Linked DNA regions of Cricetulus griseus. The main gene of each other region encodes a partner of the protein of the gene in region 2 in a complex. Links are inferred from orthologs where the notes say so. Each region holds a gene or a part of one and is shown on either strand. Other genes may lie near its edges.

Region 1 (3,653 bases), on a different chromosome or scaffold from region 2:
CTTTAATAAGCAGACATGCTTCCTACCCTCCAGGAGCCATGGGCTTACCTGGAGTGCTTTCTACTTGCATCCCGGATGCACTTTGATGTCCACTGCTGTACACCTTCTTGTGCTGACTGGCCACATTTAAAAAAAATATATTTCTCGGATGTCACCTTTGCTCATTCATTAATTAACACAGCACTTGAAAACCCTGTGTTTCTTCTTGTCTCACTGGCTCAGACTTTGTTTTTTGAGACAGGTCTCATGTAGCCCAAGCTGGCCTCCAACTCACTCTGGTTGCCAAGGGTGACCTTGAACTCCTGATTCTCCTGCCTCTAGATTACAGGCAGTGGCCACCAAGTCTGGCTTTTATTTGGCTCTTAAACTTAAGATGTGAGCCGACAATAACAACACCTGGGCATTTATGGAGATAATAGAGAAAGCAGTGCTGGAAGAAATTTATGAACACATGTCAAACTCAGATAATGTAACCTGGGCTTCTCGTTTTTTTATTCCTCTGGGGACTCAACAGGTCCCACCTTCTTGGGGACTGTGAGGTGTATGGTGCCAATCTGTAGAACTTGGGATTTCCTTATCTGATAAACTTGATTATGCATTGAACCCTCACCCTCATCCTTCCATTCACTCCCAACCTTCCCCAGGTCCCCCACCCCACCTCTATCCCTAACTCCAGTGATACAATGGAAAGCAGCTAAGGGCTTATTCAGGTCTGTCTAGTCTGACTCCTAATAGGGAAGCAGGGTAGTATGGAATAATGTGGTGTTGGGGACAAAGTCCTGTCACTAGCTATGTGACCTCAAGAGAGTCGTTTACTTTCTCTATACCTCAGTTTTCTTGATTTAGAACAGAACATGCAAGCTGTACATGGGATAAACCAAATGATATAACCCTGTCAAGTGCCTGGTGACCTGTGGTTTTCTTTTACTACAAACTGACAAGCCCCTCTGCCTGCCCCAGGAACACTGATATAAAGTGCTTTATAAAATAGAAAAGTGAGAATGATCTTGACTGAAAGCAGCTGTGGGGAGCCTCCCAGTCCTACAGCCTCTCTTAACCCTAGTGTAACCCTTCAAGGGGACGTCCAAAAATTCCCTTAACTGTAAGTTTGGGGTGAAATAAAAATAACTGTGTTCTAAACCGTTTAGGTGTTTGGTGTCACCTTTTAAGTTATAGATACAAAAGAGAACAGGCCAGAGGTGTGAAATAATTTGGCTAGTTACAGATATTAATGTGAGAGCCAGGGCTGTGGCCAGGGCCAGCAAATGACAAGAGAACACATTTTGCTTCTATGAAAGAGCACACTGTGTCCATTCAAAGGCATTATTTCCCATGGTAAGTAATTAGACCTAAGAAATGTGAAAGAGAGGGCAGACTGCCCAAGAGTAAACAAATTATGGTATAGCCATACGATGGAATTTTACACAAACATTTTAAGGAAAAAATTTCAGGGACTTGTAAGTTCTGATGATAACTCATCCTTTTTCTTAGCAAGAGGCAAGCTGCCAAGCCCTGTGAACATAGCAGTTTCCATTCTAATAAAATATTTATGTAGAGGGAACCATTGGGAATGAGGCAGAATGTTGACAACAGGTTTATGAATGATTTAAGAAAAAACTTTCCAGGTCAGGAGAGACAGCTCAGGACCTGAGTTCTAATCCCTAAGACCCATATAAAAGCTGTTCCTGGGGGTGTGTCTGCAATCTCAACACTCCTATATCAAGGTGAAAGGGGGAGCCAAGAAATGGCTGGCAGCTTCCAGGCCTGATAGCAATGATGTGTGCAGTGGTGAACAAGAGAGGCTGTGCCTCAACAAGACAGAGGTGTGACACCCATGATTGTTTTCTGAATTCACACAAGTACATACATACATACACACACACACACACACACACACACACACACACACACACACCTAAAAATATACATATATACTTGACAAATTTCAGATAGTGAACACACATACATCAGAATAATTTTAAGGGATGGATGGCAGAATGGTAGAAACAAAATATCCTAAGAGCCAATACTAGATGAGTATGTTTTATACTCTACCTTTTAAAGTAGCTTTTAACAGGGAGCTTAGAACTGTTTTTATTTTTCTTTTTATTTAAAAGTTTTAATTTCTGTGTATGGGTGTTTGGCCTGCATGTGATTACGTGCATGCAATGCCTACAGAGGCCAGGAAAGGGTGCTGGATTCCCCTGGAACTGGAGATATAGTTGTTTTTGAGTTGCCATGTAGGTGCTGGCAATCGAACTCAGTTAAGAGCCAGTGCTCTTAACCACTGAACCATCTCTTCTGTCCTCTCTACAAGATAGTTTTTAAAAAGTTATCAGAAGGTTGGGCTTGCCTATAACCCAGTACTTGGGAGATAGAGGCAGGAAGATCAGGAATTCAAAGTTATCTTTAGACAAGCAGTGAGCTGGAGGTCTGCCTGAACCACATGGCAATTTGTCCCCCCATAACTAAAGGTGAATAAAACATTACAAGAAACAAAAATGCATAATTGATGTCTGGGAAGCTCATCCACATATTGAGAATATGGGAATGCATTAAATATTTAAATTTGTTCTAAAGTTCCTTATACCTTGTAATGTCTTCCAATTCAAGTGACAGTCATTGTGAATGCATATTAATTGATTGCCAATCACTGTGATTTCATATTAATACTTGGTAAGTTGATAGTTTCTTAGATTTATAATCTCTTCTCTCAAATATAGGTAAGAGATCCCTTAAAAATACTTCCTAATATTTGTAGGATTGTTTAAGAAGTTTCAGGGAAAAGCAAGTCTACACCTGGAGGGTATGAAGTTTGTAGTCTTTCTGAGCTGATCTGGTTTACATGATCACTTAACACCAGACTGGCTGCTAACTGCCCACTGCTTTTTTTCTTGCAGCCCTGCTAGACCCAAACATGTGGAACTCAATTTGAAAAACCCGAAGAACCCTGACAGTCTGGGCAATGAGCACAATCCATTTAGCCAACCAGTTCATAAAGGAAACACTGCCAACAAAATCTCTTTATTTGAAAACAAGCGGGCTAACAGTAGCCCTAGACACCCTGACATCCGTACCACAAGGAACAACCCTCCCTCTAATAAGACATTTGTTGGGAGAGCTAAGCTAAACTTAGCCAAGAAAGCCAAGGAAATGGAGCAACCTGAAAAGAAAGCCTTATCAACCAGCCACCAGAATGGCCTGGTGGCCAAGGAATCATCCACAGATGCCAAAGGCGTGGAAGTCCCTAGCTCCAGAGAAGAGATTCTTCTGGCCTCCAGTGGAGGGGGAAGAGAAGCCACAGAGGATCAGGTCCTCTGCCCTGAGCCTAATCAAAGTGATAAGGCGGATGTGCAAACAGATGCTGCCTTATGTCCTTCACAGCAGGTGCCCACTGCTCGGGTTCCTGTGGAGGACCCTGAGCTCTCAGGAGAGCTCCACCCAGAGGCTGCTGACAGCAAAAACCTTGTACTTGACAACGTGAGTGACACGGCACAGGACATCCCCACCATTCTTAATTCCAGAGAGTCTCCTCCAAAACCACAGGGTACATTTTCTGACTTACAGCCCGCATCTGGGTCATCTAGGGAGTCTTCTCTCCCACCTTCTGCTCCCATTCCTGAGGACAGTTTTCAAGATGATTGCGTTCAAGT
Region 2 (3,653 bases):
CAGCACATAGCTGGGTGTTGGTGGCGCACGCCTTTAATCCCAGCACTCGGGAGGCAGAGGCAGGCGGATCTCTGTGAGTTCGAGACCAGCCTGGTCTACAGAGGGAGTTCCAGGACAGCCAGAGCTGTTACACAGAGAAACCCCGTCTCGAAAAACCAAAAACCAAAAACAAACAAGCAAAACCCCCCACCAGATACATAAAGGGGGCGGGGCAGTGAGATGGCAGGGTAAGGGTACTGTGACCAAGCTTAATGCCCTTAGTCTGATGTCTTGAATCCACGTGGTAGAGACAATTGAGTCTTCCACACACATCCTCTGTGGTACCATAAAATAAGTAAATGTGAAGTACACAATGCACGCACGCGCGTGTACACACACACACACACACACACACACACACACACACACACACAGTTTAAGGATGCCTCACTATTGCTCACGCTGAGCATCTTGCCTGAGCTTTCCACATGCTGAGAATAAAGGTGAGCACCACCGTGAACAGCAAGTAATCCCAGTACTCGGGAGGCAAAGGCAGGCGGATCTCTGTGAGTTTGAGACCAGCCTGGTCTATAAGAGCGAGTGCCAGGACAGCTATACAGGGAAACCCTGTCTCGAAAAACCAAAAAAAAAAAAACCAAAAACCAAAAACAACCCCCCCCAACCCCAACCAAAAAAAAAAAAAAAAAAAAAAAAAACAACAACAAACAAAACAAAAAACCCAACTATGGAGGTCAGGCCAACCTCAAGTTTATGATCTCCCCAGCTCAGGCCCTAAGTGTGGTGATTATAGGTGTGTGTCATTATGCCCGACCAATACCTTTACCTACATTATTATTATTTTCAAAATTACATTTGTCTATCACGTGTGTACATGTCTGTGGTGTGGCACACCTGTAGCCCTGTGGACAATGTGGAGGGGTTGGTTCTCTCCTTTTACTATGTGAGGCCTAGGAGCAAACTCATCAAGTTTGGGGACAAGCACCTTCCCTGGTGAGCCGTCTTGCTGGCCCTGTATTTTAGTTTATTGTAGGGGTACACACATATATAGTATGTGTACACACGTGAGCATGTGCTATGATGTGTGTCTGGTAGAGGCTAACTCTGAGTCCATTCTCTTCCCCCCACTTTCTGGGTTCTGATATTGAAATCAGGTCACCAGGCTTGCAAGGCAAGTGGCTTTAACTGTACAGGCCATCTTGCTGGCCCCAACACCTTCTTTTCTTTTCTTTCTTTCTGGCCTGGGGCTTGATATGTAACTCAGGCTGGCCTTGAACTCATGGAGACTATAGAGAACATTTACCTATCCATAAATATTTTTGGATATAATATTTCAAGACTGCACATTAGAAAATAAAAGATAGGGTGCTTAAAGGTGCAAATTGTAAATTTTGTTTTAGTTTTTTGTTTTGTTTTGTTCTGTTTTTTTGAGACAGGGTTTCTCTGTGTAGCTTTGGAGCCTGTCCTGGCACTCGCTCTGGAGACCAGGCTGGCATCGAACTCACAGAGATCCGCCTGCCTCTGCTCCTGAGTGCTGGGATTAAAGGTGTGCACCACCGACATCTGGCTTGTTTTAGTTTTTAACACAAATGCTTTTTTTCCCTTTCTTTCTTTGAGAAACAGTAGCCAGCCTGGAACTTGCAATCCTCCTGCCTCAGTTTAGGGATTAACTACTGCACTCAGCTGTCTTATTAAAGAGAACTTGCCGTTTACTTCTCTGGTATGCTTCCAATACCATCACTCTCCTAGCTCAGCAGCAGCCGTGCACACTCAGTACTTTAGAATGCTCTTCCCAGTTCACCACCACCCCCGCTGGACTGCCAGGTGCTGGCTTTTGACCAATGTGACACACAGTATTCCATTTCAGATTTCCTTAATGCTGGGCCCTTGATGGGGATGCACAACTCACTTTGTCCCATCTGCTTGTACTGACACACAGCCACATGTACTTCCGACTTACCTTTCAAAAAGTATGTAATTGATCTATTTTGTGTGTGTAGATCATGTGTGTGTGTGTGTGTGGCAGGGATGGAGGCACTTGTATACCATAGTGTGTGTGTGTGTGTGTGTGTGTGTGTGTGTGTGTGTGTGTGTGTATGCAGAGGACAACTCTGGGGAGTTGGTTCTCTCTTTCCACCATGTAGACCCCAGATATCCAACACAGATCGTCTGGCCTGGCAACAGGCACCTTCATCTGCTGAGCCATTTCACTGGCCCCCTTCTATTTTTTTTATAACAACCTGGAGTCTAGAGTTGACTGACTCCAAAGATAATGTCTCTTCTACAGCCACCATCTCTCTGTTTTAGGTGCAAGACAACCACGAGAAGCTACCAAGACGGCTGGGGATGGGGGGTTTGGGTGAGAAAGTGAAAAAAACACTACATAGAAAAAACATCTGATTAAGAAAGAGCTGGCCACATGTTTCCGGGCGATTCTAGAATGTACTTGGTATTGATCCGGGTCCATCAAGAAAGCAGGAATGGAGACTGGACTTCTTACAAGGAAGAACAAAGTGTCTTGGCAGTGAATGAGAGATGCTAGGCTGTTACCAGTGGAAAATGAGGGTGGCCAAACCCTGAAATCCTTTAGCCACCATCATCCACCAGAGGTGTCTGTGTCTCCTGGAGCAGACTCGGCATTGAGGACCCTCCACACAGAGCCTTTCCGGAATGAGGAAAGGAGTCACTGGGACCAGCAAACTGAGATGGGGAGTGTGGCAGCCGGCAGCCACCGTGCAGAAAGTCCAGGTTTGCTTCTGCTCAAGAGGAACCTCTAGGCAGGATGACAGGGAAGGCTGCTCTGCCAGGGCCAATCCAGCCAATATTCCAACACGGGTGGGGGTGTGGCTCACAAGGCCCCACCTCTAGCTGAAGTTACAGGTAGTCAGCAGCTGCTGGGAAAAGAGCCGGCTTTCTCAAGGAGTGTGCCCCTAGTAGGCTATGGCTCCTACAGTGGACAGCCCTATACTCCATAGGTTTTCAGTGATGAGAGTAGGGCAAGAATTGCAACTACAGAGAACTAAATAAAATCATATTTTATTTTTGAGTATAGGGTCTCTTTATAGCCCAGGCTGATGTCAGCTTGTAGCAATTCTTCTGCCTTAGCTTCCCAAGTATTGGGGTTACAGAAATGAGTCTTCCTACCTGGCTAAAATTTAAGCATCTAATTTTGAAGTACATGCCAAGTAAAAAAAAAAACTGAACATTGCCCCCAGATCGCAGCAAAACCAGAGTACACGCAGCTTCACACCGAGAACACCATTTCAACAGGAGCACCTGACCACTGTCACCCAGACCTGCATACCTGGAAGTGAGGGCTGGAAACACACTTGGCTAATTGTCGAAAAAGAGGCTCCATGATCTTCACAAATTCTGATGGTTCAATTACATCTAAAATTTCTTCTAATTCATTTAAGAACATTACTTCTTTTGGACTGTGAGTCTTTGGCCAGTATTTGAGAAGTGCCATTACCACCTGAAAAACAACAGCAGCAAACAGTGACGCCTATGCGTTGCCAATGCACAGAGAAGATGTCTGTGCTCCCATTAGATGTTCCCACTGCAGCGCAACAGGGGAGATGGCGCTGAGAATCAGCACCAGCATGCTTCTCTCATCAATAGTCTAGTTTTACACACTTCTTTAATCAATTAGTTAA
Region 3 (3,653 bases), on a different chromosome or scaffold from region 2:
TCAGATCCCATTATAAATGATTACAACCACATGAGGTTGCTGGGAATTGAACTTAGGACCTCTAGAAGAGCAGCCAGTGCTGTTCTGTTCTGTTTTGTTTTCTCACAACAGGGTTTCTCTGTGTAGCTCAGGCTGTCCTGGAACCCTCTCTGTAGACTAGGCTGACCTTGAACTCAGAGATCCACCTGCCTCTGCTCTGCCTCCCCAGTGCTATGATTAAAGGCATGCACCACCACTGCCTCATTGCAGCCAATGTTCTTAACCACTGAGCCATCTATATAGCCCCAGTTGTCATGCATTTTAGACCTTGTCTACCTTAATACGTTAACAACTTTCATAGAGAGTGTCTTAACTCAATTAATGCATATTTTAAGGTGTGGAATTTGATGTCTTCCAAAACATTTTATTTTATTAATTTTATCCTTCCCCACTAAAATTTTGTTAGAATTGCAAATTATTGTGGAGTTTATACATTGATATTTGTTCTAAATCTTAATAAAAGATACGTCCAAATAATATAATCATAGCATACATAGCTTGAGAATAATTAATTGAACCTCTAGTACATGTCTGTCTGTGCATATACATATATCTTTATATAGGAATGAGCATACTTTTTTTTCTGTTCTGTTGATATATAGGAATACTACTTGGTTTTACTTTTCTGAAACCGTATAAATCTCCTACATTACTTTTTCCAGAGACTGTTCCTTATCTAAGTCATCTTTGTTTTTGAAGTTTACTAGCAGTCTCTGAGCCAAAGCATCATGGGGTTGACTTCATGGAATCACTCTGGATCCACAGTGCTAGATTCCAAAAGAAAGGGCTTTAAATATACTAAGCGTGGTAGCAGAAATCAGAAGGTTTTTTGGTTTTTTTTTTTTTTTCTCCCTTTGGTGGAAATGCAGTGATATTTTGGTGGACCCAATTAGCTTAATTGACTTGGTTATTTTTACAGGTAAATATGTCTGAGTTTCTTCCTTGTGGAATAGTAGTAAGGACCCTTTTAGACAAGGTTGCTGAAGAATTACACTAGATGACACAGAAAGCTCATAGTACATGATGGGAACTTGCCTTCCATTTCTGCATCACTGAGACCACAGATTTGGTGATTCATAAAGAATGTTGGTTTATTTAGGCTCAGTGTTCTAGAGTCCGAGAAGTCTAGAGCCTGATGCTAGTCTTGAATTATAGCATGATGGAGGATTTCACGTAGTGAGACAGCTGTGAGTCAGGGAGAGTGCTCTTTATAATCTGTGATCCACTTATTAATCTGTAAAGGGTTAATTCACTCAGGAGGCAAGCCCCTTATGACCCAGTCACTTTTGTAAGTCCTACCTTTACTGTAGGACTAGAACAAAAGCCAGTAAGAATGAACACTGATTATCTTTATCGTTCTGGCTTTTTTGTTTGTTTGTTTGGTTTGGTTTGGTTTGGTTTTTGAAGACAGGGTTTCTCTTTGTAACAGCTCTTGCTGTCCTGGAACTTACTTTGTAGACCTGGCTGGCCTCAAACTCAGTGATCCACCTGTGTCTGCCAAGTGCTGGGATTAAAGGCAGATGTCACCAACTCCCAGCAAAATTGTTGTGAGCTGGCTTGTGGGTGTTAGGAACTGAACCTGGGTTCTCTGGAAGAACAGCAGGTCCTCTTAACTGCTGAGCCATCTCTCCAGCCTCAGTAATGCTTAATTTTTATCAATGTTTATTTGTTTTTCCAACAGATAAAGTGCTAACTTGCAAATATATGAGTTTGAGAGAGACATTCAGTAATCATAGAAACACTGAATAAATTGTAGTTTTTCCTTTCACTTATATTACTTTACCTTTCACAGGGTGTCTTGTCTTTAGAAGCAATGCTGCTTGAAGGAAGCTTAGGGTTTTTTGTTGTTGTTGTTGTTGTTTTTGTTTTGTTTTGTTTTTCAAGACAGGGTTTTTCTGTGTTGCTTTGGAGGTTGTCCTGGAACTCGTTCTGTAGACCAGGCTGGCCTCAAACTCACAGAGATCTGCCTGCCTCTGCCTACTGAGTGCTAGGACTAAAGGCATGCGCTACCAATGCCCGGCGAGTCTTTTCTTTTGAATAGTCCTTTAACTTGTGGATAAGAATTTCACATTCACTTCTTACTCATTGCTCAAAGTAACTCTTGCAAATTATCCTCTGATTTCCATATGTACACACACACACACACACACACACACACACACACACACACACACACACACACGTAATATAAATAAACTGAGGCTCACAGTCATCTTATTACCCCAAACTTCATTGCATCATACTTGGGAAAACAGAGGCTTACAGTAAATTATTTCTCCAGAATGCCAAGCTGAGGTTAAACATACAGTTATATGTTTATATGAATGTACTACATGTATAGGATGATAAAATGATGATATAAAGATCAGAAATTGAGAGTTCTTAGTCCTTAGCCAGGCATTTATCTGGAGAACTGGGTGTGTGGCTCTCTGCATAGATACCAGGAACCATGTAAGCAGGCTCATATAGATGTGTTTGTAGGGTGGGTCTGTAGATCTTTACTGTTTCCCACAACTATTAGTTACAGCCCAAAAGAAGGAACTAAGAAAGAAAGGTATTTTTGGTGTCTACCTCCAGCACTCTAAGGTTTCTCTCTTTGCAGGGATGTTGGCAATGTGGTTGAAGCTATGTACGGGGACCTCCCTCCTCCAGTCATGCTGATCGGGCACAGCATGGGTGGTGCCATTGCAGTTCACACAGCATCAGCTAACCTGGTACCAAGCCTCTTAGGCCTCTGTATGATTGATGTTGTGGAAGGTAAGTTTTGGGTTCAGTAATTTATAAGAGATATTCCTGGTACATTATTACCTTGGCCATATTTGTTCTCAGTTTCACTCATCTTGAAGTATGCCTCTATGTCTTTGTGCCTTTATAAAATTATACAACCATTTTCTGTATTACCAGAAACTCTCCATTAACACCTTTTTATGGCTGTATAATATTTCTAATCATATGAATGCCTTTTAATAAAATTTTCTGACTTACCCCGAGAATCTCACTGCTCCTTGAACAAGTTAGCCATACTCACTGTGGTGTGCCACACAAGGAGTGAATCAAGAATTGCTGAGAGCCATAGTGGAAACTGTCGTGAAGCTAGATCTTTATTTTTACCCAAACATCACTGAATTCTGACATTACCAGGAACAAATACATAAGCTGACTCAGTGTGTTAGTTTTTACCACTGTGACAAAATATCTCAGTTAAGCAATCTAAAGGAGAAAAGATTCGTTTTGGTCAGATATCAGAAGTTTTGGTCCATTGCTTTAAGAATGTGTGTGTCAGAACATCACACAGAGGGAGACTAGGAAGAAACTGTGCTCCCCCAGAGCTTATCCCAGTTACCTGCTTCCTCTAAGTCGGCCCTGCCTCCAAACAGTGTGCATTCAACAATGGATTAATATATTGATAAAGTTAATGTCAATAGTGTCTTCATTATCCAACCAACTGTCAATACACCTTCAATACATAAACCTTGAGGAGGAAGAATTCTTCCTGTGTAAGCAATGCCATTCCATCATTATGAATATGAAGATAAACATGAGTATTGTTCTCTTGATGATACAGGCGTAGGCAACAGTTTGTAGGACTCCAATAGCACAAGGAATAATCTGAA

What was found.
Region 1: the proteins of Ppp2r5c (region 2) and Crybg1 are in contact, whole or in part, in a crystal structure (PDB 6VRO), measured with the Homo sapiens proteins. The link is inferred for Cricetulus griseus from reciprocal best matches to the Homo sapiens genes PPP2R5C and CRYBG1. Residues at the interface, in NP_002710.2 of Homo sapiens: Lys183, Thr184, His187, Tyr190, Gly191, Leu194, Arg197, Ala198, Arg201, Glu226, Ile227, Ser230, Ile231, Asn233, Gly234, Phe235, Ala236, Lys240, Glu242, His243, Pro265, Gln266, Tyr269; in NP_001358171.1 of Homo sapiens: Pro1136, Phe1138, Ala1139, Met1140, Pro1141, Pro1142, Ile1143, His1144, Glu1145, Asp1146, His1147, Glu1149.
Region 3: the proteins of Ppp2r5c (region 2) and Ppme1 are in contact, whole or in part, in a cryo-EM structure (PDB 7SOY), measured with the Homo sapiens proteins. The link is inferred for Cricetulus griseus from reciprocal best matches to the Homo sapiens genes PPP2R5C and PPME1. Residues at the interface, in NP_002710.2 of Homo sapiens: Asp180, His187, Arg188, Tyr190, Gly191, Leu194, Arg197, Ser230, Ile231, Gly234, Phe235, Ala236, Lys240, His243, Asp313, Gln341, Tyr348, Glu353, Tyr354, Glu399; in NP_057231.1 of Homo sapiens: Arg37, Lys38, Arg39, Asn192, Lys217, Val251, Glu252, Gly253, Ile254, Ile255, Glu256, Glu257, Pro345, Gln346.

What each region holds. Positions count from the first base shown.
Region 1 is NC_048595.1:266,254,241-266,257,893, reverse strand, and holds part of Crybg1 (beta/gamma crystallin domain-containing protein 1), read left to right. Parts: intron 1-2,900; coding exon 2,901-3,653. UniProt on the Homo sapiens protein: May function as suppressor of malignant melanoma. It may exert its effects through interactions with the cytoskeleton.
Region 2 is NC_048598.1:183,452,458-183,456,110, forward strand, and holds part of Ppp2r5c (serine/threonine-protein phosphatase 2A 56 kDa regulatory subunit gamma isoform), read right to left. Parts: intron 3,473-3,653; coding exon 3,302-3,472; intron 1-3,301.
Region 3 is NC_048596.1:99,185,339-99,188,991, forward strand, and holds part of Ppme1 (protein phosphatase methylesterase 1), read left to right. Parts: intron 1-2,641; coding exon 2,642-2,796; intron 2,797-3,653. UniProt on the Homo sapiens protein: Demethylates proteins that have been reversibly carboxymethylated. Demethylates PPP2CB (in vitro) and PPP2CA. Binding to PPP2CA displaces the manganese ion and inactivates the enzyme.